3 linked regions of the Schizosaccharomyces pombe genome follow. The protein of the gene in region 2 purifies or fractionates together with the protein of the main gene of each other region. This does not show direct contact. Each region holds a gene or a part of one and is shown on either strand. Other genes may lie near its edges. The genes, in order: lap2, nbr1 and ape2.

What was found.
Region 1: the proteins of nbr1 (region 2) and lap2 purify together in Schizosaccharomyces pombe (affinity purification with western blotting; one study listed by BioGRID). This does not show direct contact.
Region 3: the proteins of nbr1 (region 2) and ape2 purify together in Schizosaccharomyces pombe (affinity purification with western blotting; one study listed by BioGRID). This does not show direct contact.

Annotation. Positions count from the first base shown.
Region 1 is NC_003421.2:1,293,304-1,299,818, reverse strand, and holds lap2 (aminopeptidase Lap2), read left to right. Parts: upstream 1-3,690; 5' UTR 3,691-3,904; coding exon 3,905-5,743; 3' UTR 5,744-6,015; downstream 6,016-6,515. Other genes in the region: karyopherin/importin beta family nuclear import signal receptor Kap113, read right to left, coding at 1-728, 779-1,468, 1,525-2,557, 2,635-2,861; fyu1 (UTP-glucose-1-phosphate uridylyltransferase), read right to left, coding at 6,121-6,515.
Region 2 is NC_003423.3:984,225-990,292, reverse strand, and holds nbr1 (protein Nbr1), read left to right. Parts: upstream 1-1,783; 5' UTR 1,784-1,988; intron 1,989-2,291; 5' UTR 2,292-2,455; coding exon 2,456-3,649; 3' UTR 3,650-3,910; downstream 3,911-6,068. Other genes in the region: subfamily NudF ADP-ribose diphosphatase Ysa1, read right to left, coding at 118-735; SHREC complex ATP-dependent chromatin remodeller Mit1, read right to left, coding at 3,969-6,068.
Region 3 is NC_003423.3:2,411,227-2,418,776, reverse strand, and holds ape2 (aminopeptidase Ape2), read right to left. Parts: upstream 5,800-7,550; 5' UTR 5,271-5,799; coding exon 2,622-5,270; 3' UTR 2,236-2,621; downstream 1-2,235. Other genes in the region: pvg3 (galactosylxylosylprotein 3-beta-galactosyltransferase Pvg1), read left to right, coding at 475-1,611; SPOM_SPBC1921.04C (uncharacterized protein), read left to right, coding at 7,373-7,550.

The sequences.
Region 1 (6,515 bases), on a different chromosome or scaffold from region 2:
TCACTCAAAACGCTGAACCATAAATTCATGATAGAATCCAACACTGCCAAAACGTCGGGATGATTTGTTCGCAGCAGAGAGCTGAGGGCGAGTGTGTTCAGTTTTCGATCTTTCGAGTGGTTTATGTGGTCGTTTAATAAAATCCAGTTGCCGATAAGCATAGCTATGTTGATATTTTTCGTTTGACAAACCTTCAATATTAATTCCGGCTCGCGCAATGAGATGCGTGACACCACCAATAAATATTCAATCAACACCTGAGGGTGTTTATCATTTGTTGCAATGGAGAGTAGGAGCCTCGACAGAAGTGAACTGTTCAGCAATGATTCGTAAATCATATCCATCGGAGTAGTTTCAATGAGTAGACATACAGTTTTACATAGTGCTTGCAAAGTTTCGTTTTTTACATCGTCTAATAAGTCGTTCAACTTTTCAAATATGGTAAATGAGTAATCCTTCATCAAAACGGTATTGTCTAAAAGTTGATAACTGCTTACTATCATTAGAACGAATGGAAGGGTAGACGTGGCCTGTGAAAGATGGTACAATAAATGAGGGATAAGTAGGGTAAAAGTTTCTGGCAATTTTTGTATGTACATGAGAAAGGTGCTCCACAATTCCATTGCATCCGCTTCGAAAATAACATGCTCTGGAGATTCCGGATTTACACAATATTCTATTACCGTATATAAAAAAGTTGAAAATTCAAAAGATTTTGCTTTGATCGCCTAGAAATTAGTATAAGAAAACAGTCTGTTGTATATAGCCAAACACTTACATTGACGAATTGGTGCATAACTGCCAAAACTCGTGCTCGCAGCAGCGGTTCCTTTTTCCAACCATCCCATAATTGAGAAAGGAGAGAAGCAATGGTACTTTCCATGGGAGCAACATGTTCTCCGGCCCTTGCCAATAAAGTACCAAGTAAAGACAAGATGGAAGTCCTAGCATCGACTGATTCAAACGCTTTAAACAAAGAAAGAACATGGACAAACAAATTTTCTTTGATAGAAAGAAATGAATTCTCAGAAAAATTCCAATCATCTAAAACGGTTTTGAAAGCATCTATAGTTGTTAAAATGACTACGGCGTCATTGCAAGGATCTGTTAAGTTGAGAAATGAGCAATACAATTTGTAAATAACCTCAAGGAGTTGTTCTGAAGAAGAATCTTCAATCCATTGCGATAAAAAAATGGCAATTCTTCGTCGATACACTCTAGATATCCCAATATCATTAATGGAAGCCATGTTGGGAACTGCGGCTTCCTGTAGCCATTTTGCAAAAGGAAAAATACTCTTCAATTGGGTATATCCAACTCCGAAAGAACTGATCAAAGTGTCTTGTTGAACTGCTTGTGTTAACGTCTTTGGACACTCAAAAACGCTGTAAATCATATCCTTGAACGGCGAAACGATAATATCTCCATATGCATCAAAGAAGCATTTTAAAAGTTTTTCGGCACAAGGCTATATTATCGTTAATGATAAGCTTATCAAAAAACCCATATTCATAATCAACTTACCCTAACGTTAAACTCAACATCCTGGGTCGATTGTTCAAGGACCCATTGTTGTGGGGAATCCGTCCATTCTTCAAAATCTTCTTCTTTTAATATTAGTAGTTTGGTGATGAGTAAATCCAAAAGATTGTTTATACGATTATCTACGAGAAATGAGTTGTAAAGAACTTGAGCCGTTTCGGGGTGCGACGATTTAGTATTGCAGAATTCTTGGATGACAAGGATAAATACTCGTAAGCTCATAATCACAAGTTTTTCAAAATTTTTTGAGCTCTCTTCAAACTTTTCTTTGTATGAAGAAAGATGAGAACTGATTTGACCCAAAAAATCATAGTGCAATGAAATGTAATCAATAGTAGCTGGAAACTTAGTCAAGCATGGACTATAGAAAGAAAAATCAAAGAATGGCTTATTGAATAAGAAAGCATGTGCAAAAGCCATTTCTAAGCACTCCCCAACTACTATCGGAGACCGCGAGGATTGAAGCATTGTACCAAGCATACTCAAAAGTTTTCGCTGATGAACAGCACAAAAAGCTAACATACGCTCACTAAATTCACTTTCACTAGGATTTTGGAAACCAAAAACAACCAACCGTCTACATGCCTTAAGCGTGTATCGAGATATTTGCATATAAGACAACAAAGTAGAATCTTTAATTTCCTTAGAAGATTCAAGTATCATCATCCAGCTTGATAAACTAGAATGTAAAATGGGTTGAAGAATCGTAAGCAATTCTGGAGCAAGTTTGTAAAAAATCTGTCGCGATCTCAAAAGACGATTCCCAGCCATTGCTTTGATAATGTGATGAAGAGTAATTAGTAATCTTAAAGCCACATCGTAATCTCCTGTACCCAATGACTGCTGTAACTTGCCTAAAAGATCGTGAAAAAGAGAAGGCCATTCGGTGGGATAATCCAATCTAGCAATTCGAGAGACGACCAGCGCATTTTGAATAGATAAGAGGTTTTCAGATTTTATAGATCCTAAAAGAGCATTACATCGTATAAAGTCACGTTCTTCTGGAAGTAAAGACCTGCCAAACAATCATACATTAGCAATTACGAAAGTCTAACAGTACAGGTTGATTCTTCGAGACTACTCCTAACTTACATTTTTGTATTTTTCCTCCATATTATATCTATGGAGTTCCGTAGTTGAATGATAGCAATCCATCGTAAACTCATGTCATTTTGTTTATCCAAAAATATACTGTACAGCTTGCCAAAGAAACCTGGTTCCTTTTTCCAGTTGTTTAAATGCCCTTCAGCATCCTTAACAGCAATGGGATCTTGACTTACAGCACGTTGTAGTTGATATACTACAGGATCTACTTGCATTCTCCAAAAAAGTCTGAGACTTGGTTTTTGCTTGAGCAAGGCTGTACCAGTCGCACTCAGTATATGTGAGCCAAAGGAAGGAATTATAGGAAACACTTAGAAAGCGCTTCGATTTCGGAAATGGTGAAATAATTTTCAAATTAAAAACGTTGCGTTCAGTTTTTTTGGTATTTTAGTATCAGAAGATTTTGGGTTTTTTGGTTACCCTTCGGAGGTCGAGCTGCGATTCAAAATTCGAACTTTTAACTCTGTTCGTAATTGAAGAAATAGAAAGATCACAAAGACTAATACTTCTATTATTGCTCATTTTTCTTTCTATAGACAACTAATTCATATTACAATAAATGATAATGTAATATTGCCTTCTTTCTGTTATCTGTTAACAAACGTATCTTATTAAAGAGGGAATGACCAAGATTTGTGGAATTCTCTCTCGTTTATGCCTAAACCTTATGAAATTACAAATAAATGAATAACATTTTTTTACTATTTTATTTAAAATAAACCAAAATCAATAATCGTAACAGTTATTGTATTATTTACATTCCCAAGCTAAGGGACGCTGTCTCTTTTATAATAACTTATCATTGGCAATGATCCTTTCAAACATTCTTGGTAATTTTATGAGCACAAAAATAATAATTATTTACTTTTCAAAGCCCTCTCTCCAAAACTCCTATTCAACAATAAACTGTTTTCTTTTGTGAATTTACAAATTGCGTTGCTCAACGAAAATAAATGTAGTGATACATAATGATATCGATAAAGTAGCATAACGCGCTGCACCCATATCCACACATGTTGCTACTCATCGTATTGCTGTATGATCGCTTTTCCTATTCCTTCCTTTATAAAACTGTGATTAATCTGTTTTAACTATTTTATACTTAATATTTTTATTTACTCAGTAGCATAACTCATATTGCTAAAGCTGAGATCGTTGTACTCGTTGGTTTTATCTAGGCTTCTAATATATTGAGCGTTGTTTTCGTTTAAAGAATTCGTTTGTACATTGTCCTAAATTCCTTCAATTAATTTTAAATATGAAACTTCGTTTGGACCCTTCCACTCAATCTAATTATCATGATGTCTCAATCAGTAAGCTCGATTGGCACGCTCGAATTGACTTTGACCAAGAGCTGCTCCATGGTAAAGTATCCTTTGTGATTCAATCTGCTAGGGTGTCCCAAGCCCTGTCCCATATTATCCTTGACACTTCTTACCTCGAAATCAAGAATGTAACGATTAATGACATCCCTACTCCTTTCCGTGTTGATAAGCGGCGCGGATTTTTGGGTTCAGCTTTGCATATCGTTCCCGCTGATGAAATCCCTTCCTCAAAATCCTGTATACTTACAATCTTATATTCCACTACTAAGGATTGTACAGCACTTCAGTTTTTGAAGCCTGAACAAACGATAGGTGGTAAATTTCCTTATGTTTTTTCGGAATGTCAAGCCATTCATGCACGTTCATTCATTCCCTGTCAAGATACTCCTTCTGTTAAAGTTCCGTGTACTTTTAAGATCCGGTCCAAACTTCCCGTAATCGCATCGGGTATCCCATGTGGAACAGCTAATTTCTGCAATGGCTCTTTGGAATACCTGTTTGAGCAAAAAAATCCAATCCCTAGTTATTTATTTTGCATTCTCAGTGGTGATTTGGCCTCCACAAATATAGGTCCACGTTCTTCTGTATACACAGAGCCTGGCAACTTGTTAGCTTGCAAATACGAATTTGAACATGACATGGAAAACTTTATGGAAGCCGCCGAGCAACTAACACTTCCTTATTGCTGGACACGGTATGATTTTGTCATCCTTCCGCCTTCCTTCCCATACGGAGGTATGGAGAACCCTAATGCTACGTTTGCTACGCCGACACTTATTGCCGGAGATCGCTCCAATGTTAACGTTATTGCTCATGAATTAGCCCATTCTTGGAGCGGTAATTTAGTTACTAATGAGTCATGGCAATGCTTTTGGTTGAATGAAGGTATGACTGTTTTCTTGGAACGCAAAATTTTAGGCCGTCTTTATGGTGAGCCGACTCGCCAATTTGAAGCCATTATTGGCTGGGGTGAATTAGAAGAATCGGTTAAATTGTTGGGTGAAGATAGTGAGTATACGAAGTTGATTCAAAACCTCGAAGGAAGGGATCCCGATGATGCCTTTTCCACTGTTCCTTACGAAAAGGGCTCCAATTTCCTCTATGAAATAGAGAGGGTTATTGGTGGTCCTTCTGTTTTTGAACCATTCCTTCCCTTTTACTTTAGGAAATTTGCAAAGTCTACCGTAAACGAAGTCAAATTCAAGCATGCACTGTATGAATACTTCTCACCTCTTGGGCTTGCATCTAAGTTGGACTCGATTGATTGGGATACTTGGTACCATGCTCCTGGTATGCCTCCGGTTAAACCACATTTTGATACAACGCTTGCAGATCCTTGCTACAAGCTTGCAGAAAGCTGGACTAATTCTGCTAAAAATTCTGATGATCCCTCCAAGTTTAGCAGCAAAGATATTGAAAATTGGTCAGCGGGCCAGAAATCTTTGTTTTTGGATGTTGTTTATGAAGCTGTCTCTTTTCCTCACAATTATATTAAAAGAATGGGTGATGTTTACTCGTTTGCCGAATCGAAAAATGCAGAGTTATCTTTCCGGTTTTTTAAACTCGCATTGAAGAGTAAATATAAGCCATTATACAACACTATTGCAGAACGTGTTGGCAGCGTTGGCCGTATGAAGTTTGTTCGCCCAATTTTCAGACTGTTGAATGAGGCAGATCGTGCTTTTGCAATTGAAACGTTTGAAAAGTATAAGCATTTCTATCATAAAATTTGTGCTTCTCAAGTTGAAAAGGACTTAGGCTTATCTGAATAGAATTCATAAATGCTGCTTGCCTACTAACAAAAGAATACATCTACATGGAGCCTTTTTCTCGCCTTAGCTTTTTGATGATAGATGTAGATATTATGATATAAATATATATTATTTTTTTTTTGACCTAGCAAACAATAAAAAGAAGAAATCATATATTAGGAAGAGAAAACCAAAGTCGTTTCACAATACTAAGATTTACAACATCTCAACCAAAATTTTTATGATCAACTACGACTTATGTATCTAATGCAAATTTTTTAACATGAATGCAATCTGATCTCGTCAACACATTTCTGTATATAAAAAGAACATTGTGGTTTCCATAAAGTGCTATTCTAATGCATGTAATGAAAAAGTCATGAAAAAAGAGCGACGATTTAGTGCTCCAAGATATTGAGATTACCGGTAATGACACAGTTCTCAAGGACAGAACCATTAGGAATGTCAATACGGTTGGCATCACTAGCGACAATAATCACGGTACCCTTAAGAGTAACATTGCGACCAATATTAACGTCACCAGTAATGGTCAGATGATCAAGTTCAAGGATTTTTGGAATGCTGGGAATGTGAGCAGAGAAATCAGCAACTTTCTTGAAGTGTGCGCCTAATTTGACTAAAGGAGCGGTACCTCCGAATCGGCGAGGATTCATCTCAACCTGACCATGGTTGATGGAATAGAGGTCAGACTTGACGAGAAGTAAGTCAGAGCAGGTTTTGACGGGTAAGAAACGTCTTCTAGGGACGTTAACACCGTGGGCGTTCTTAAAAT
Region 2 (6,068 bases):
TATATATTATTTTTAATAAAGTTTGACTAAAACAAAGGAAAGTTATAGCATAAAAAGTCCATTAGCAACATTTAATAGTAAACGGTCGTAATTCAGTGAATAGCAAAAGGTGCATAGCTAAGACGACAAGTATTTAAGACCAGCATGTAATCCTAGTGCAAATGTGGAGAGACGAACATCAATGGCAAATCCCTTCTTCTCTAAAGAAAATAATTCCTCTTGTAAAGAAGAAAGCTTGATTGGAAAGTTCTCAATGTATTCGCCATCGTCAAGTTGTTGTTGAGGATTTTGGTTTTCAGGCTTCGACATGTCAATGTCAGCCAGTATAATCTTAAGATTAGCATTCGTAAGACCCGGATCATTGTACATGACAGTGGTGGAGTCCATAACAGTACCAACGTAGCCAGTCTCTTCACGAAGCTCTCGAATCGCAGCATCTTCACAAGACTCCTTAGAATCAACTAAACCTGCTGGAATTTCAATACAAAACTTGCCAATAGGAGGACGAAATTGCTTTTGGCACAACACATGAGGACTTCCGTCGATAGGAACAATGGCTAAGATGGCTACGGCATCCACATTGGCTTCTGAACGTGTCGTACGTTCAGCCATTTCCCAAAACCTGATTTTTCCTTTTTCGTCTTGCCAACGGATTTTCTTTAAGGATGTCCACTTGGCATCCTGATTCTCAAGGTTGGACACTTCCAAAACTTTAGGTTTTTGATCTTGGCTCATTTTATCAATACAGGTGCTCAAACCTTTGACAGTGTATGAAGGGTGTTGGAATGAAGTTGCTGATATTTGAAAAGAGAAGGTGGAAATAGCGATGTGAGAATATGAGCTAATCAATTTCGGAGGATGCTGGTGTCTACCAACGTTAAGTAAATATCGGGTTAGAAATGAAGTTGCATTTATACCTAATGTTCTTGTACTTTTAATAATATGCTGGAAAAAATTTCGGTGCATGAGTGACTTAAAATCCAACTGAAATATTGCTTACTTTTTTCCCGTTAATGCGTAAACGTGCGATTAGTATGACAATGTAAGTATGATGTTAATTTGTTTTGACGTATATTTACAAATTTCATTAATGTAAATATTAACAATCAGCAAAAAACCAAAATTATTATTTGAGCAAAATCATAACGCGGAGTATACCATTAATTATTAACTTAGCTATAAACTGGTCGTTTATCACCTTCTCTAGTGTCTTTTCATTTGCAATTGATTTTACAAACGGATCATCAAAAGATACCGTGACCGGTTTTAGCCAATATAATGGAGTTTTTCCTACCCTTTTCTATTATTGTAGTAAAAGATTTTACGCTGTAAGAGAAATTGCATTTATTTACGTTTTCAGTTCATAATCGCTTATTGATATTAGAATAGCGTCAACTTATGATTTAAGAATATATAATATTAATACTTTATCGACTCACATCTCATTTAAATTACATTTATGCCATAACCCATATCTAGTTTAATGTCTAAGCCGATTTCTAAGTACATTTTAGGGCTTAAGTTAAGTAGTTTCCAATTTAACTAAATCAATTTCTTTTTCAAGTTTGCTACATCAACAAAATTTTTCATATATTCATTTTTAGGGCCATGCGTTGAAGTACCAACCTCTTGTAGATAAATTCGCTAAGTTACTGTTTATGCTGTGCACGCTTCTAAACGCTACCACTTTTTAGCGACGCTTAACTTATCTATTATCAGTACGATATGCTCATCCCCCATATACGTGTGATAAGCTTACACCTCGACCTCGTTCATTTACATTACCATCAACTTCTACTAGCGAATTTGTCCTGCTCACTTCACCCGTTGAATACATCCCATTTAGAATTAATAGCTTGATTTCATAACCAATTAGGAACCCGTCATTATAGTTGCAATTCCAACGCTCCTTACATTTCGTTTGCACTGTATCTCTACACATCCGCTTCAATTATTTGTTTTGTCTTTATTTCCTGTTCCGTCTATAGGTAAGATAATTTACTTGCACAAAGTCTTAAGTTCAATGTTTGTACAACAAATTACAAAAAGGATTGAAGGACTAAAGTGGTTGATGGAACTTTAATAATAACATCTTCGATAAATATTTACGAGAACGTAAAAATCCTTGTCTTGATAAAGATTGTTTTTTCTATTGCCTTTACTCTGAAATTGCTAGCACTGTTGCTCACTTCGGCGTCACATATTTCCTCAATTTCAAAATTCATATGAACTATTAAATTTTACTTTGCAACTAATTTCATTAGTTAATATCGTTACTAATTTTGCTTTAGCTTATTTCGAAAGAGCTTTTTACCTACAATTAAGACCTTCTCTTACCTAAGAACTCGAGTTACTTCTTGACTGCTTACGCGATTTTTTTCTTTTTTTTGCTTTCTTTAACGCTCTCTTTTATCATTAAATTTTATTTTATTTTATTCACGTTTTTGATCCCGAAATGCTTTGCAATCGTACATGTCCCTCTTCTGATTGTGGGATTCTTTGCAACCATAGTGTTCCTTCCTTCCCTCCTTTTCATTCCTCAGTCGCTAATATCCACTTCACTAAGGAGAATAATTTAAAGTCAAACATTTTTGAGCACAATAATAATTCGCCTACTTTAAGGTCTTCTTCTGTTGCTTGTAACACTTGCCTCAAGATAATTCGGAATGACTCATTTCATTGCACAAAGTGTTTCGATTTCGATGTTTGTAGAGACTGCTATGCGAAACAGGCATTCCTCCATCCTTGCCCAAAACCCCATTTCGTACTTGTTCGCTCTTCAATCCCTTCAGTTGCTTCCTTAACCTGCAGCGTAAATTCTATGTCAGTTTCTCCCCAATCTAATTTTATGTACGCCATTTGTGACCATTGTGAGCAACCTATACATAATGTGCGTTACAAGTGTAGTGTTTGTGATGACTACGACATTTGTGAGTCTTGCCTTACCGACAATAGTCATTCAAACACGCATGCTTTCGTTCGAATTACTAAAGCTTATCCTCATGGTCTTCCTTCATTTCATTTGTTCCCTCAGTTCCTATCAGCCGAATTGTTTGAGTCTGCCTCAACAGTACATCGATCGGTTCAATGTGACAACTGTCTTGCTCATCCAATAGTTGGACCAAGATTTCATTGTCTGGTTTGTGAAGACTATGATCTTTGCTCCTCATGTGTATCTCATGTGCATCATGATCATCATTCAATGCTCCGTTTAACTCGCGAAATATCTGCTTCACCTTTACATTTATCTAAACCTGAAAAACCTAAGGTTCTTAATTTCGACTTCAAGTTAGTTGAGGACTCCATTCTCCCCTTAGAATTAAGCCCTGGCTGCCCGTTTTATAAAATATGGCATATAAGGAATACTTCTTGTCAATCGTGGCCTTCTCCGTTGTATGTCAAGTTTAATGGTGGAGACAAACTTTTTCCAGGAGACAATCCATATTCGTTTCCTATCACTTCTTCCGTTCATCCTGGTGAGGATGTTAATTTTACAGTTGCTTTGAAGGTTCCTGAAAAAAGTAACAAAGAGATTTTTACCGCATTTTTTAATATCTGCTCCGATGATGGTAGCGTTTTTCACAAAAGTCTTTGCGCCTTCCTTCGTGTACCGAAGTCTTTTAGCAGAATTAGTAAGTCGTCTTTTTGAAACCATTCGTAACGCTTTTTATGTCCTGTAGAAGTTTAGTGTGGAAGACAACGATAACGAAACTGATTTCAGTTTTATATTTCTTTCTTTTGTCCACTTGTCTGGCGGTTGTTCGTATATAACCGCCGGTTTTAAGTTCATGATTTGCTTCAGAGTTGAATCACTTGTTACCATATTTGATCCTACCTTGTTATAATGATCTTGATGGAAATGCTATATATGTTTAAAATTTATATTAAAAATTATATATTAACGAATAAAATGCAGGATACATATGAATATGCCAGATTAAATAATAGTATACATTGATGATAAAACTCTAAAGAGTTTTTGCTTCATTAATTATGGATTCCTTTATGATTACTTTCGATGAAAGTTCATTAGTTTTGGCACTGCTTGATACAGTAGGTTCCTCCTTTTTTTGTAGAAACGAGTTTAATCTAGCCATAGCTTGTTTTTTGATGTGAAATGGTTCTCGTGATTTGCTAAGCGAATCTTTTAGTCTATAAATCGCTTCCTTATTTCGTAACATAGGGCACGTGTCCCTTCCACTAAAGTGAGGTGTTCCACATAAAAAGCATATTTCTAATGGCACAATGCTTAATGGACAATGTGCTGGTAAATGTTTAATACCACAACATCGACAACGTACATTATCAGACAAAGAAGACAGTAGAAAAAAGTTGTCAAGAACTGCTTTAGACAAAGATCTTCCAACCAGTTGATGATTTTTTTCAATTATTTCGTAAGGTGGGTAAAAAACTGGATCGTCTATCAGTTGCATTTCCGAATCATTAATATACTCTGAAGAAGTTAATTTGTTAGCCACCTCTAAATTGATGGTGGATAGAGTTTTGTTAAATTCATCTTCTTTGGGAGTTGTTGCTAATAGAGATTTAGCTAAGATAGAGTCAAAATGAACATCTGCAGACTTTTGAGAATCAGATTCATCATTTAAGTTTTCGATATTTACGCTCGAATCATATTTGAGTTTTTGCTTATCAGATAAAGTATCTGTTATCGAACTGATTGTCTCAGTTTCTATGGGAAATGGGGAGCCTGGTGATGATCGATCATTAACGGTATAATCAGTATCGTCGCTATTATCATAAATATTTAAATCTTCGCCATAATGGATTTTGTGGTGTGCACGAAGTCTCCTGTTGGAAGTTGTTTCGTCTGTTTTTTCTAGCATTGCATCCTTCTCTCGTTGCTTAAGTATTACTGACCAGACATCTTCTTCATCAACAAGAACATTTTCTTTGACTTCATAATGATTGGAAGATATATGTTTGTTATCCCAAACACGAAAAAAGCCAAACTTATTGCTTTTTATATCTGATTCATCAGTTGAAGTATCTTCTTGTTTCTCAGCTTCTGAGATAAGTAATTCTACCGAATATTCATTATACTTAATAGACGGTTCATCACCAGCCTCTTCAAATAATGCACGAGCCCCATGCCGCAAGATACTTTCTAAATCTTTTTCTGAATTATGATTTTGATCCAATGACTCAACAATTAAGTGGTCCAATACAAGCTTCTTTTGAGCGTTTTGAATGATTTTTTCCTCTACAGAATCTCGAGTAGTTAACACAAAGACAAGTACCTTTTTTTTTTGCCCATATCGATGAGCCCTTGCAATCGCTTGCATGTCTTGATGAGGATTGAAATCAGGATCTAGTATAATAACAGTGTCCGCACTAGCTAAATTGATGCCAACTCCACCAGCACGGGTAGAAAGTAAGAAACATGACAACTCAGAATTAGGAGCATTAAAAGAGTCGATTGCTGACTGCCTTTCCATTTCCGATGAGGCGCCATCAAAACGTGCATAGGCTATGTTTTTATATTCAAACCAATCTTCAAGGATATCGAGTTGCTGGATAAATTGAGAAAACAATAATATACGATGCCCGCGAGTTATCAATTTCGGTACCAATAAGCGTAATATTAAAAACTTACAGCTGGCTTCTTCCAGTGAACGCATAGCAAGTTCATACGGGAGATTACGGTCTTCAATATCTGGTGAATAAATGTACGGATGAGCTAATGTTTTTCGAAGTTGCATCAAAATGTTGTTCAATGAAGTAGTCCTTTGCCCTCCAGAAGAACTGGTATTAGCATAGCCGGTAATATTACGTAGCAAAGACAAATTTTTTGAAAGAATCGATTTGTATAAACCTTTTTGAACAGGTGTCATGGACAAAGGAATAATTACTTCAACCTTCGTAGGAAAGTTATCCAGTACTTCGCTTTTCACTCTTCTTAAAAAAAACGGCTTTAAGATTTGATGAAGTTCAGTCACCTTTTCCGTATCAATAATGCTGTATCTTTTTTCAAGCTCAGCAGCATTTATTTTCATGGGATTTAAAAACTGCAGTAAATTAAAAAGTTCCCGAACATTATTTTGCAATGG
Region 3 (7,550 bases), 1.4 Mb from region 2:
ATAGAGGAAACTGAATACTAAAACTAAGTTCATTTAACGAGTATCTCCTATTAAATTATTCATAAAAATAAACAAAATAGAAAAATTGTATATGTATGAATCCTTTGGTTAATGGACTCTGAGATAAAGAAATGTAGCAACCCGGTATATATAGTTAACGCATTTATAGTTACCAACGCTATGAGGGCATTAAGGGTTTGAGTAGCTGCTCTTCTGGTTACATTATGACTGCGTATTTATGGTGGACGTGAATATGGCACCAAGCACAGCTTTGTTTTCAGAACCAAACATTATACTCCTTTCAGAGTTATATTCTGTTTGCTGGCTCATATATTCAAGGAGTCTTTTGTTTAATTCTCAACGATCTTTAAGTTTGGTTTTATTTTATTCTTTTATTCAAAGGGACAATTAATATTCACGTCTCTCTAATTGACCTCCTGGCGCAACGTGCTCGTTTAATTAAACTCTTTCACTATGTTTTCAAATTCTAAAAAAAAAATTTTTCTTTACGTGCTAATTGCCGGTGTTGCTACTTTTTCCTTTGCTTTTCTTGTACTAAATCGTCTACAGGCCGAAGAACATTCACTCGCCTACGTAGAGAATTTGTTTTTAGATCCCTTCATTAAGCAAAATGAATCGCTTGCCCATGCGAACGACAGACCTTTCAAACTGTATTTGGGGATTTTTAGTCAAGCTAAGAACGTGGATAGGCGTAACTTTTTACGTACCGACTATAATGAATATATTAAGGAGTTTGCCGTAAATGATACTGTGGATGTTAGATTTATCCTTGGTTTACCTGAGAATGAGCAGGAATTAGCTACCATTCGCGAAGAGCAGCGAACGTATGGTGACTTAGCAGTACTACCTATTCCGGAGAATGTGGATGCTGGAAAGTCCATTGTATACTTCCAAACATTTTTAGAGGGCTACCAGCCGTTTCCTCTTTTTTCTGAACTTGCAGATAATCTTATAATGCCCAGCACTCAGTTTCATGGTAGTTTTATATATAATCAAAGTATTAAGACATATGAGTTGCCTGGTATGAAGGAATTCCAAGATCTCGGCGAGCCAAAGCATGACTACGATTTTATTGTTAAAGCCGATGACGATTCTTTCTTGAATTTACCCCGTCTGTTTGAAATGTTGAAAGAGCACGTTGGGAAAAGCCGCTTTTATTTTGGAAGGGATTGCACACGAAGAGAATTACCTACCGCTGTTCGTGACTTCCCGTACATGTGCGGGTTCTTCTATATAGTATCTCCTGATATGGCTTATGAGGTGGCTAAACGCCGTAATATTATTATTCCGTTTGAAGATGCTCAGACCGGCTATAGCATTTACCTTTCCGGTAATGTAAAAAATGCGGAATTCTCTAAATGCACATTGTATGATTTGATTTTACCCAACGAAGGTTTTAATTATCGTCAAAGCTATTTACGCATTGACGCCATTGCCGTCCATAAGCTTAAAAGCATCCCTCTCTTGTCGACGGTAAGCAATTGGTTTAAAAAAATGTATGAACATCGTGCCAATTGCAGTGCCTTGATAGAAACTGAACGACTTTCGTGTCTTCAGGCAACAATTCCTTTACCTTCTTTGGACGTTTAATCGTTTCTCCTCTATCGTTATTCTTTGCATATGCATTATTCTTCGTTTATGTTTCATTTATTTGATCCGTGCGTAACGTAACGTTTACACATGTTTCATATCTACTAATGCTTCGTTCTTTATAATCTTTTCTCAATTTGTTTTAACCGCCATCTATTGTTAACATAGTTCTTTCTACGTTCTAATTTTTTTTAATTTATGCATTTTTAAACCAGCTAGAGATTTTTTGAGTCACTAAAAATATAAGTATAATCGATGCTCATCTATCTGCAACAAACACATTAAGTCTTTTCAAGTAAATGTAGATACAATCAAAATATTCCTTGAAATCGGCTAAATTTCTCCTTAAATTTCGTTATTTCAAACCAGCGATATGACAGTACCAGCTCCGAGTCGTTAAGGTAGTCACAACCCTACCCTATTAAAAAATGTAATTTACTATATAAACAAGTGCGCTTGCTACATTATTCTTTAATCAAAAAGTTAAGGGGTCAGCCACGGTGGTTATGTGAATTAGTACGTATGCTACTGCCAGAGTCTTTTTAGACTTTGCGACCTCGAGATCAAAACTCGTTGATAAAGAACCTTACTCTTATGTCCTATTAATTTAGGCGATTGGCGTAAGGGCCGACGATACGAGAAATTTATTATATTAGCGTTTTATTATATGATTGAAATTAAAGTTACATTAGTTCCAGTTAATATTCAGTAATTCACCTTCGTTTTGCACACCTTTAGTTGATGTCGGTGTATACTGAAAATAGTAAAGTGCCAGTGTGGAGTAAACAACATACTGTTATAACATAAATTTATAAAACTTTAAATGTATTTTACGTCAGTTTCAAAAATCAAAATTTCATAGATGTATGCAATCTAAGTAAAGGCGTCGTCCATCAGTATATACATAACTTGCAGTAGTCATCGTTCATAAAAACATGGTGATCAACTTGACAGTTTCAAATGCCACAATTTAAGCATTCACCACATACCGTTTCTAAATATGCAAAGACTTACATATAACGATTCTCCTTAAGCCAGCGAGTGATATCATCCAGTGATTTGTCGATGAAACTTGAATTAGCAGAAATAGTGTCCAAAGATTGTTGAAGTGCACGTTCATACAACTTCGTATCTTTATCGGCAAAAAATTCCTTAATTTTATCAATAGCGGAGGCATGAGTGAATCCACTTGTTACGAATCTCACAACGTAGCCACGCATTGTACCAGCAACAGGAAGTCTTGAAAGCAACTTATCCCAGTTAGAAGTAGCAAACTTCCACATTGCCAAAACACCGTTTTTGTGAGTACTCAATGTAACCAAAATAAGATAAATATCTTGTTCCTTGACAATAGGGTCAAGGGTTAAATCCAAAGTTTTTTGAATATACTTTTCATCTTCAGTAACACCAAAGGCTCTCAAACAACTATTACGGACATAAGGATCATTAGTTTTAGTATAAATTTCAAGAAGTTGATCCCACGACTTAGCACCACCATAACGAATTGCAATGTTAAATACGGCGGATCTCAAATTATCATTAATGGCGGACTTATTACCAGACGCGTAAGCATCAAACTTGGAAAGTGCATCCTTAACCACCTTATCATCACCAAACAAACCGGCATAATTGTATACTGTACTCTTAAATTGGCGAATGATATGATCGTCATTTGCCTTGAATTCCCAGCCGAGTGAATGGGCTTTAGTAGCAGAAACCTCCAGAACTAACTTTTTCATTGCAGCAATGATATCAGAACTTTCGAAACGTAAAGTGGACTTTATACCATTCAAGCGGGCAAGCATCTCAGCAAAGACTACAAAGTTAGGCTCGTCTTTCCAAGTTTTGATAAGATCTAAAGTGCTGCTAACTTTACCGTAGCCAGCTCTCGAGAGAGAAGCGACGTCGGCAATTAAACCAGCACGATCCTCGACACTAAGATAATCTGGCTTTTCAACCGCAATTTGAGATAACTTCTTTAAATGATCGGCAGAATAGTTAACACGGTAGATACCAGATTGTTCAGAGTTTAGCTTATAAGATTCGAGAGCCTCTTTATCAACTTTAATTTTCTTGGATCGGTCTGAAAGCACAGCTTTTTCATCAACAACTGCTTTACCATCCTTCATCGTTTTAAGTTTTAAGGGGGCCCAATAAATTACAGTATCTTCTTCGGGTTTAACGTCTCCTGTTGACAAAAATCGATGTTGCTCAATTAAAAGCTCTCCATCATTGGTTTCAGAAACGGATAGCACGGGATAACCTGTCTTCTTAGTCCAATTGTGCATAGTGGAAGAGATGTCCTGACCTGATTCTGCCGACAAGGCAGCCCATAAGTCTTCCGTAACTGTGTTACCATAACGGTGCTTAGAAATGTATTTTTGAATACCCTTAATAAACGTATCTTCGCCAACATACTTGCTAACCATGCGGATAACACAAGAACCTTTAGAGTAAGAGATAGCGTCAAATATTTGGTTAATTTCGTAATCGTGCATAATGGGAACTTCAATAGGATGACTGGAACGAAGTGCATCCAACGAAAGAGCAGATTGAAGGTTGTCTGTAACATAAGATTCCCAAACCTTCCATTCAGGGTAAAAATGGTTACAGCTAAACCATGACATCCAGGTAGCGAAACCCTCATTAAGCCATAAGCCGTCCCAAAATTGCATGGTAACAAGATTACCAAACCACTGATGGGCTAATTCGTGTTGTACAACTTCGGCTACACGTTCAATTACAGTAGCAGCGGAATCCTCAGAAACCAAGATGGCAGCAAGTCTGTAGGTAACTAAACCCCAATTTTCCATAGCACCTGCTTCAAAATCAGGAATAGCAACCATATCGCATTTGGGTAAAGGATATGGCTCGCCAAATACACCAGAGAAGAAGTCTAAGGTCTTAGCACCTAATTCCGCAGCAAATTTACCCTGTTCGGAAAACCCAGGTGTAGTATAAACACGAACAGGAAGACGGGGGCAATGCTTGCCAGGGGTGAAATACTCAACGTATTCGAGTTCGGCAACAATCCAAGCCAAAAGGTAAGTGGACATTCGGCAAGTTTCGGCAAAACGGGCAGTTTTCAAACCATCCTTGACAGTTTCCTCAACGGCATTCATGTTACTAAGGATAGTATAGTTTTCCTTAGCAGTGATATCGATGGTAAAGGTAGCTTTCAAAGCAGGTTCATCCCAGCAGGGGAAAGCACGACGAGCACTAGTAGGCTCCATCTGGGTCGTGGCAAGATACTTGGTATTACCATCGCTGTCAACGTAACTAGAGCGGTAGAAACCCTCCATGCCACTGGAAATACGGGCAGTGAAAGGCAACGTCAAAACAGCAACAGAGTTGGCTGGGACAGTGGAGGGAAATTGAAGAACGATACGCTCATCCCCATAAGAGACTTCGCTGGCCCAGACGGTTTGGCTGCCCCATTCTAACGCAGCCGTCAAAATACGAAGGTTAATGCCATGTAGAGTAATACTGTTGCTGTCCTCAAGTACATCCAAGGTAACGACGACTTTACCGCCGTAAGTGAACGTCTCCAAATCTGGATATAAACTCAAATCATAGTGGATGGGTTTAACATTTTTTGGAAGCAAATTCCGATTTTTATCGTCTTCCTTAGAAGTAGATTTAGGAATGGTGACTTGCATTTTTACAAAAGAAAAATAACGCTGAAAATCAATACAGCTAAACTAGCCAGAGCAATAATGAAGCTGAATAGAGCAAATGTGATACGATAGTGGGAAAGGTGAAGGAAGAATTTGCCAACTAATTAAATAATGGTACAAAAACCGTAGGAAGATGGAATTACGAACGATGAGTCAGTTAGTTAGAAAAAGTATCGATACGAACAAACAAACAGCCGATAACGATCGATAGAGTAATTCAACAGACTCCTTAATTAATCTTAAAAAACCTAACGTTAATTTTAAATTTTAATAGTCAAAGAAATGTAGATGTCGTTTTCCACGCTGTGGAAATGAGAACGATGGGAAACGGGATGGAACAGATGATAATTTGTCCAACAACGCTGAAAAGCACACGATTACACACTTAAACGTAATGATATTTTCCAAGCAACAAACGAAAAACGTAAAGACACTAAACGACGAAAAGATGTAATAGGTCTAAGCTGCCAATGAAGATGGTTAAGTAGGTAGTTGGTGTAAGTAGAAGGTTGGTGAAAGCACTATGTGTGTGTGCCCAGGATATATAAGCGTCTGATGGAGTAAGCATAGTTTCTTCACGTAACATAAGTATCATAAACAACTTATTTTAAAGTAACAACAACAAATGATAAACCCCAATGTCGTAACCGACTCGAAATCCCATATCCAAGGTGATTTTAGGGAGTATAAACGAGCTCTCCTTAAAACAAAAACAGAAGCAACTAGTTAGATATTGATTGATGCTATGAATTCTGCTGCTTTTTTAAGATAAAAAATATTAAATGTAAAACAAGAAGAAACACATCTTGTAGCTTGACAGTTGAGAGAAAACATTTCAAAATCCCCCGAATGTGCTAATGTTGGTGACTTTATCACTCAGTGGAAGATGAGATAGTTAAAGAAACCGGAGCTTTTCGATGTTTAGAATAAAACCACGCAAAAATATATTACCGTTTTGTGCAGAAAAAACTACATCACTTTTCTTGGTTCCGAAGCGCTAAAATTACCGTCGATAAATAGAATAGACAATTCAAGGCAAGACTTGTAACAAGAAAAAAAAGATTTATCCCTCACATAGCAAGGCGTTTTTATTAGGCTTAGAATATTTGGTCTTCAAAAACAGTAAAGCTCGTCCAAGCCAAAAATACTTGGTCTCATCGGTGGTAACGATTGTTTGATTCTATTTACAAACTGCCTTTCTTTCTAAGATTGCTGCGGAGCTTTTCTACTTTGCCTAAGAAAAATGAAATCGGCAGTGCATGTCTTATGACAAAAAAATTTTTGCCCAAGAATATAATTACTTACTGCTCGACTCGCTTATTGTCAATCCTCCTTTAATACCAAAGTCTATTTCTACATATTTGGTAGCACGATCATAGAATTTACGCCAAACGAACGTAAATTTCAATTCCAATCTAATAAATCGTTTGTATGTCACTTAATCGCTCTCATCGTTTCTTCATTCCCGACATCATATTTTTTAATACTTACCGTAACAAAATAAACAAGGGTAAAATTGTCTGGAAACAAAATTACAATACAATTTTGATAATTGACTTTCTTTTGCAATGTGCCGTATACCTCCTTTTATAAGATAAGATCCTCGGATATTGCAGAGAAACACCAACGACTCCTACGATTATAGGATCCTTCCGCACCATTTTAGTGCCCCAGTGTGGGAACTTAATAGATACAACAGAGATAACGATAAGGTGAACAAATATGAAATGCATCTAAACGTTAAACGACATACAGCATGTGCATTGTTAATACCCGTGGAGAAGACAGAGCAAAGAACACTAGGATTTTTTCTTTTATCCACGGCACAATCAACTATGATATTTCACATTACAGCCATAATAGTGACAAAATAGAAATGAACGTAGCTTGTTAAACCCATTGAGTATCCTGTCCGACAAACAAGCTGTCCCTATAACACTAAAAAATGGAAGAAATTTCGATAATTCAAAATTAAGTAAACAGCAGGTTTTTAAAACCCACGAATACAACCAAAATTTACACAAGACAGACAAATACAACCAACACATAACATGAATAATATTAAAATGAATTAAAAAACATTAATGAGTCATACAAAAAATTTAAAACTTATACTACAAAGCAAAAAGCTATCTGAACTACCGACCCACAGAAAAAGTATCAATATGACTATTCCTGTAAGGGCACTAAGATGTCCAATATGGCTCTGGCCCACGTATGACGCTCAAACCATTCCATGGAAAAAGAAAAAGAAAAGTGAGC